Linked DNA regions of Xenopus tropicalis. The protein of the gene in region 1 purifies or fractionates together with the protein of each later gene. This does not show direct contact. Links are inferred from orthologs where the notes say so. Each region holds a gene or a part of one and is shown in the gene's direction. Other genes may lie near its edges.

Region 1 (3,500 bases):
TCCTGCCCTGCTTTATGGCTGAGATTCTAGCTATCTGTATAACAGAGCATTCTGTCACAGTGGCACAGATCCTATCTGACCCCCCCCCCCCCCCCCCATTGCTGACTTGTCACTCTATTCCAGGCCCTTGGCTGCTGGGGTTTATCACAAGGGCAGGCTGTGCCCCCTCCCATGATGAGTAGTTGCCAATAAGAGGCACAAGGGCTGTGAGTCACATTCAGACGGTCCCTGTGAGTGGCAGTTGGGGGGGGGGGGGCAGATATAAGATATATACTGGGTTAATGGGGCTTTTACATTGTTAGAGGGAGGGGCCTCACAGCATGCAAAGCATTCTGGCTAATTAGGGATCAGATGACATGCCTGCTGCAGCCCGCACTGGTAGCTCTGTAGCGCAGGAGTATGACAAGCTTTTGGCACCTTATGGGGGACATTAGTTGGACCCCCACCCTGTGCGTTTAGCAGTGTGTGAGGCAAAAGTGTAACTGTACCAAGCGCTCCCTTATCTAACTGAGCTGTGCCGTGTGGCACCGACTGATAAGCCCTCCCCCCCCCCCCAGGGGCAGCCTATCTGTCTCTGTCACCCCTCACTAACTGTCATATTAACCCTATGGGCAGAGCAGTACTGATGGTACCAGTCAGGGAGCCCTTTTCCCCTGGCACGAGCCCCACACGTATATATGCCAAGCAACCCAGTAATGAGTGACGTGTTTCCTAGTGGCAACTGCTTAGGGGCAAAGTGTCAGAGACATGAGGAAGGAGGTCCCTGGCCTGCGGAGCTTACAATCTTAATTTGCCTTTCTTTCCTGTCTCCCCAGGCACTGCTCTTTGTTTTCTCTGTCCTAAGGAAAGTAGCGTGGGATTATGGGAGGCTGGCGCTGGTTACGGATGCAGACAGGTGAGTTGGCACCCACAGGGCTGGGGGGGTGATTGCTTCTGTGCCACGGGGTAGGCATGGGTGCCCCAGGCATGTAGCTGCATTTAGGGTGCCTACACCCACGGGGGCTGTTCCATTTTACTCCCCACGTGCAGATTCTGCGAGAGAAAATTGCAGGGCAGGCGTCATGTTTTTTCCCTTGCAGAGCGGGTTCTCCTGGCAGAGCAGGGCGGGTACCGGCAGCACCGGGCAGAGGGCTGCTGGGAGTTTCTGGACAAGCGAGTACTTACAGCAGATTGGACCCATTTTAACTCAGTTTTTATGTTATTTTCTGTGTTTGAACCCAGACAGCGGCGTCAGCGAGTCCCTCAAGAGGAGCACGAATAGTATGTTGTAACTCTCTCCTTGTGGTACCCCTACTGTCACTTTAACTGCCCCCTCTGTGGTGTCTCTTCCACTAACTGTCCTGGCTGCACTCTCTGTATGTGGGCACAGAAAGCACCTGTCCCAAGCCTGGCACTCATATACTGGAACCCACGGGCCTATATACCTCCAGTAACAGGAAGTTCCTGCTGGAATAGAATGTTGGCACAGGAAGTGCACTGTGCAAAGGGAATTCCCTCCCCCTGACTGCTGAAGAGAGAACATGAAACTCCCTGCACCTTTCCATGTACAGTATCAGAACATTGTAGGTGCCCCTGGGGGGGGGGGTAGTTGTACCAGCTGGGCGCACTCCTGGCCAATCAGACTTTTGGGACCGGTGCTTTGCTGCATTTTGGGGTTGGACGGACCTGTGACTCCTAGTTCCTCTCTGCCTCTCGGGGTAACAAGTACTAACTTCTGTCTCTCCCAATCAGATCTCTGAGTGATTTAACCACTTAACTACCAGCGGTTTCCCCCTCCTGCAGTGCGTCCGTGGCTTGGGGGCCCCTTCTAACCAATGTCTTCCTTCCACGCAGCGTGGCCTCCGCGATGCACTCCGATAACCACGACCGCTACGAGCGCCTCACCTCCGTCTCCAGCTCCGTGGACTTCGAGCAGCGCGACAACGTGAGTGCATGCTGGGAAATAAAGGGGACGTAAAGACTTGTAAGGCTGCGCATCTTACTCATCAGGAGGGTTCTGGTGCTGGTACTGGTGCTGGTACTGGTACTTGCTCACAAGTGGGTTGGGCTCAAGCTAAGGGTGGCGGGGGCTCATTATTTGTGGGACTGGGCCAGATGTTTTTTTATATCTTCTGTCCTGGCCTATTGAGTTCAGACTAATCACCCAGCCCTTCAGTCAGTTTAACCCTTGAATTTCTGCAACTCTCTTTGCTGGTTTTGGCTTAGAAATAGGTCAGGTACCAGTTTGGGTTTGGGTTGCACGCCCTGCTGCTGACAGACAGTAATTCTTACTGGGATACTGGGCCCCTATCTTAGATTGTGAGCTCTTGGGTACAGCTAAAACGTGACCCGCCACCCAGAAACACAGACATTCCCATTCCTTTTATTTTTTTGGGGGGGGGTGGAGTGGGGGTGGAGTGGGGGGGGCATAAAAATGTTTAGAAATGAACAGGTAGGTGGGTGTTTTATTGGGCGGGTACCCGCTGTGCCCGTAGGTAGGTTGGTCTGTGTGTAACGTCTCACTCTTCCCTCTGCAGGGGTTTTGCTCCTGGCTCACCGCCATCTTCAGGATCAAGTGAGTTGTGTGCCCCTCCCAAACAGACTGACCTGGGGGGTCCTCTTTGTGCCCCCTCCCCTAACGTACTTACCTCTGGGGGGTGCTCTTTGTGCCCCCTCCCCTAATGTACTTACCTCTGGGGGGTCCTCTTTGTGCCCCCTCCCCTAACGTACTTACCTCTGGGGGGTGCTCTTTGTGCCCCCTCCCCTAACGTACTTACCTCTGGGGGGTCCTCTTTGTGCCCCCTCCCCTAATGTACTTACCTCTGGGGGGTGCTCTTTGTGCCCCCTCCTCTAACGTACTTACCTCTGGGGCACTACTGCGCCTTATGCACTCCTTCCCTTAACAGACTGACCTCTGGGGGTCCACTTTGTACCCCTTACCCATCCCCTTCTGTGTTCTGTGTACCCCCACGGACTGCTCTGCTCCCACCCTCCCACCTAACAGACCTCTTGGGGGGGTGGATTCGTGTTCTCTGTGCTTTGTACCCCCTTCCCCCCCCCCCCGTGCACTGTGTTTAATGTCCATAGGGACTGACCTATAGGGGGCGCTGCCCATGCCTCTGACTCGCTGGGGGGCTCCTGGCTACTGTATGAGGCTCACCTGGATTCTCTTCCCCCCCCCCCCAGGGATGATGAGATCCGGGACAAGTGCGGTGCCGATGCAGTTCATTACCTGTCCTTCCAGCGCCACATCATTGGGCTCCTGGTGGTAGTTGGGGTTCTCTCGGTGGGCATCGTGCTGCCTGTTAACTTCTCTGGAGACCTGCTGGGTAAGAGCCCCCCGAACCCTGTGTGCTGCCCCCCTAACCCTGTGTGCTGCCCCCCCTAACCCTGTGTGCTGCCCCCCCTAACCCTGTGTGTATCTCATGCAGAAAACAATGCCTACAGCTTCGGGAGAACCACCATCGCTAACCTGGACTCCAGGTAGGTCCAGTGAGAAGCACATCCGCGCCCGCAGCATT
Region 2 (3,926 bases), on another chromosome or scaffold:
ATGATAGATAGATAGATAGATAGATAGATAGATAGATAGATAGATAGATAGATAGATGATAGATAGATAGATGTAGATAGATAGATGATATATAGATAGATGATAGATGATTGATTGATTGATTGATTGATTGATAGATAGAGATAGATAGATAGATAGATAGATAGATGATAGATAGATAGATAGAGATAGATAGATGATAGATAGATGATAGATAGATGATAGATATAGATAGATAGATAGATAGATGATAGAAAGATGATAGATAGATGATAGATATAGATAGATAGATAGATGATAGATAGATATAGATAGATATAGATGATAGATAGATAGATAAATAGATATAGATAGATATAGATGATAGATAGATAGATAGATAGATAGATAGATGATAGATATATATATATAGATGATAGATAGATAGATTATAGTCTGATATATGATGTAAATATTTCATAGAGATAGGTAGAATATTAGTTAAAGAGCATATAATTGGTTTAGGCAGACAGTTAAATACATAATATGATTATATGAGAGAAACAGATATACAGACAGACAGACAGACAGAGAGACAGAGAGATGAAGAGCAGGTAAGTGATTATAGATAGAGGTGAGTAATAATAAAGCAGGTAGAGAGAGGGAAACACAGGGTTAATGGCAGAGGAATCCCACCTGTCTCTGTACCCCCAGTGTAAGCGCTGATGATGATGATGGGGATGAAGGAGGGAAGGGCTGGGGGTAACTGAGCCAAAGCAGCAGCCGCCCCACTGTCCCGTCACTCGTGTGGCTAATTCCCCCCCCCCCCCCCCCCCACGTACGTACATACCATAGGAACCCATTATACCCCGCTGCACCTGCACAGTCAGGAAAACAACTTTGAAATCAAAACATGGGGCAGCTCCCCCCGCCGCCCAGCTCCGCCCCCGGGCTGATGTTCTGTGCAGATGTGAGAGAACAAAGGGCTGCGCCCCCGGTGCAGATGCTGCAGGAGATGCGCTATTGTGCCGCCTGGGAACGCTCCGGACTGGGCGGGCTCTGCGCATGCGCGGGCTGGGGCGGGCACTTATAAAGCTCAGCGCGGCGCTTTCTCCTCAGTCAGTCGGTGCGATTAGTGGATTGTGAGTGCAGTGGGACCTTCTTATCTGCAGCCCTGGAGCAGCAACTGGACATTATCGGATCTATTGCCGGCATGGACGGGGTAAGTCATAGGCATTATATTTATATTCTAATCCTATTGGGCAGCTCTGGGCACAGCATGGGGGGGACGTTCTGCCCAAGTGCCAGGGGTCTGACAGCTGGGCACAGGCGGGGTATAGAGCCTTTGTATGGGACTAAAGGGTAACTTGGCAATAGCCCTATAGCTTATAATGATCCTATTGCGCTAGTATAGATCCCTTGCACTAATACTGATCCCTTGCACTAATAGTGATCCCTTGCACTAATACTGATCCCTTGCACTAATACTGATCCCTTGCACTAATATTGATCCCTTGCACTAATATTGATCCCTTGCACTAATACTGATCCTATTGCTCTGATACTGATCCTATTGATCTAGTATAGATCCATTGCACTACTACTGATCCTATTGCGCTAGTATTGATCCTATTGCCCTAGTATAGATCCCTTGCACTACTACTGATCCTATTGCTCTGATACTGATCCTATTGAACTAGTATAGATCCATTGCACTAATACTGATCCTATTGCTCTGATACTGATCCTATTGATCTAGTATAGATCCATTGCACTACTACTGATCCTATTGCGCTAGTATTGATCCTATTGCCCTAGTATAGATCCCTTGCACTACTACTGATGCCTTGCACTAATACAGATCCTATTGCTCTGATACTGATCCTGTTGCACTAGTACTGATCCCTTGCACCACTACTAAACCTTTTGCGCTGGTATTGATCCTGTTGCACTACTACTGATCCCTTACACTAATTCTGATCCTATTGCACTAGTATAGATCCCTTGCACTACTACTGATCCCTTACACTAATTCTGATCCTATTGAACTAGTATAGATCCCTTGCACTACTACTGATGCCTTACACTAATACTGATCCTAGAGCACTAGTACTGATCTCTTGCACTGTTCCATTGTTCCATTACTATCCCCTGAACTGAGCAAGTCACTGAGAAGTGCACAAATTGTGTATCTGTGTATATAGATAAATATATACATATATTATTGTGCGCCTTTTATTCTATCCCCCTCTTTTTCTCACACCCCCCCAGCCCTGTACATCGCTGTATTCAAAAAACCGTTGCTCTGACCTGACTCAGCCCCAACTTCCCTTTCATGGGTCTCTGGCAAATCAGTGGGCTCCCCTGTGTGTAACCCCAAAAGAAAGTTGTTTTGTTCATTTCAGAAGAGGAAACCGCTTGTTGCCACACCGATGTGTAGAACCCTTTAGTAAGCCCAGTGAGTAAGCAGAGAGAGTAGCGCAGACATTGCTGTGTAAGGGTATAGTAGGGCACCGAAGCACACTCGCCGGCTTCTCTAAGTGCCATTTAGTAGCCAACCTGGCACTGATCTCAACCCTGGCACAAGTCCCTTCGCTGATTCTTAAGCCCTGATTGTGTTGTTATTGTTGCTGCTAAAATTCCTGTACTCGTTTCTGCTTTTGTACTGGCCAAGTCCAATAATCTGGCGTCGGGTTCTCTTATACTTGTTTGTGACACGTGAAAGTGTTTCCTGACTTACTAAGCAATAAGAGCTGAAGGAAGCATAAATTATTGTGTATATATATATATAGTTTATTGCACTGGAGTCCCTATGGGGCTGACAGTCACGCTGTTTAGTCTGCATCCCATCTAACAAATCCCTTGTCTCTTGCAGTTTTCCGGTGGCATCGATATCAATATATTTGACAGCAACTCCACGGAGAATGGTTCCGGGGACTTTGAGGATTTCAGTGAGCCGTGCTTCATGCACGACAACAGCGACTTTAACCGGATCTTCTTGCCCACGATCTACTCCTTCATTTTCCTGCTGGGCATCATCGGGAATGGACTGGTGGTGGTGGTCATGGGCTATCAAAAGAAATCCAGGACCATGACGGACAAATACCGGCTGCACCTTTCGGTGGCCGACCTGCTTTTTGTGTTCACCCTGCCCTTCTGGTCTGTGGATGCTGCCATTGGATGGTACTTTAAGGAGTTCCTCTGCAAGGCGGTCCATGTCATTTATACTGTCAACCTGTACAGCAGCGTTCTGATTCTGGCGTTCATCAGCCTCGACCGCTACTTGGCGATTGTCCATGCCACCAACAGCCAAGGCTCGAGGAAGATGCTGGCCGACAAAGTGGTGTACGCCGGCGTGTGGCTTCCAGCCCTTCTGCTGACGGTGCCCGACTTGGTGTTTGCTCGGGTCAGCGATGAAAATGGGCAGTTCGTGTGCGACCGCATTTACCCCATCGACAACCGGGAGACTTGGACTGTTGGGTTTAGGTTCCTGCACATCACGGTTGGACTTATCTTGCCTGGTCTGATCATTCTGATCTGTTACTGTGTCATCATATCAAAGCTTTCCCACTCCAAGGGCCACCAGAAGCGCAAAGCCTTAAAGACCACCGTCATCCTCATCTTGGCCTTCTTCGCCTGTTGGCTTCCTTACTATGTCTGCCTCACTACCGACACATTCATGTTGCTTGGGCTGTTGAAGGCCGACTGTATTTGGGAGAACACCCTACACAAAGCCATATCCATCACGGAGGCCTTGGCCTTCTTCCACTGCTGCCTCAACCCCATCCTCTACGCCTTCCTTGGGGCCAAATTCAAGACCTCCGCTCAGAATGCCTTCACATCGGTCAGCAGGGGCTCAAGCTTAAAAATATTGTCCAAAAAGCGAGCCGGACTTTCTTCTGTCTCAACAGAATCCGAATCCTCCAGTTTCCACTCCAGCTAACAGT

What was found.
Region 2: the proteins of tmem63b (region 1) and cxcr4 purify together in Homo sapiens (co-immunoprecipitation; 3 studies listed by BioGRID and IntAct, with this or other methods). This does not show direct contact. The link is inferred for Xenopus tropicalis from reciprocal best matches to the Homo sapiens genes TMEM63B and CXCR4.

What each region holds. Positions count from the first base shown.
Region 1 is NC_030681.2:2,005,206-2,008,705, forward strand, and holds part of tmem63b (CSC1-like protein 2), read left to right. Parts: intron 1-815; coding exon 816-895; intron 896-1,221; coding exon 1,222-1,260; intron 1,261-1,833; coding exon 1,834-1,924; intron 1,925-2,516; coding exon 2,517-2,554; intron 2,555-3,165; coding exon 3,166-3,308; intron 3,309-3,410; coding exon 3,411-3,462; intron 3,463-3,500. UniProt on the Homo sapiens protein: Mechanosensitive cation channel with low conductance and high activation threshold. Osmosensitive cation channel preferentially activated by hypotonic stress.
Region 2 is NC_030685.2:81,967,511-81,971,436, forward strand, and holds the start of cxcr4 (C-X-C chemokine receptor type 4), read left to right. Parts: upstream 1-1,126; 5' UTR 1,127-1,192; coding exon 1,193-1,201; intron 1,202-2,854; coding exon 2,855-3,922; 3' UTR 3,923-3,926.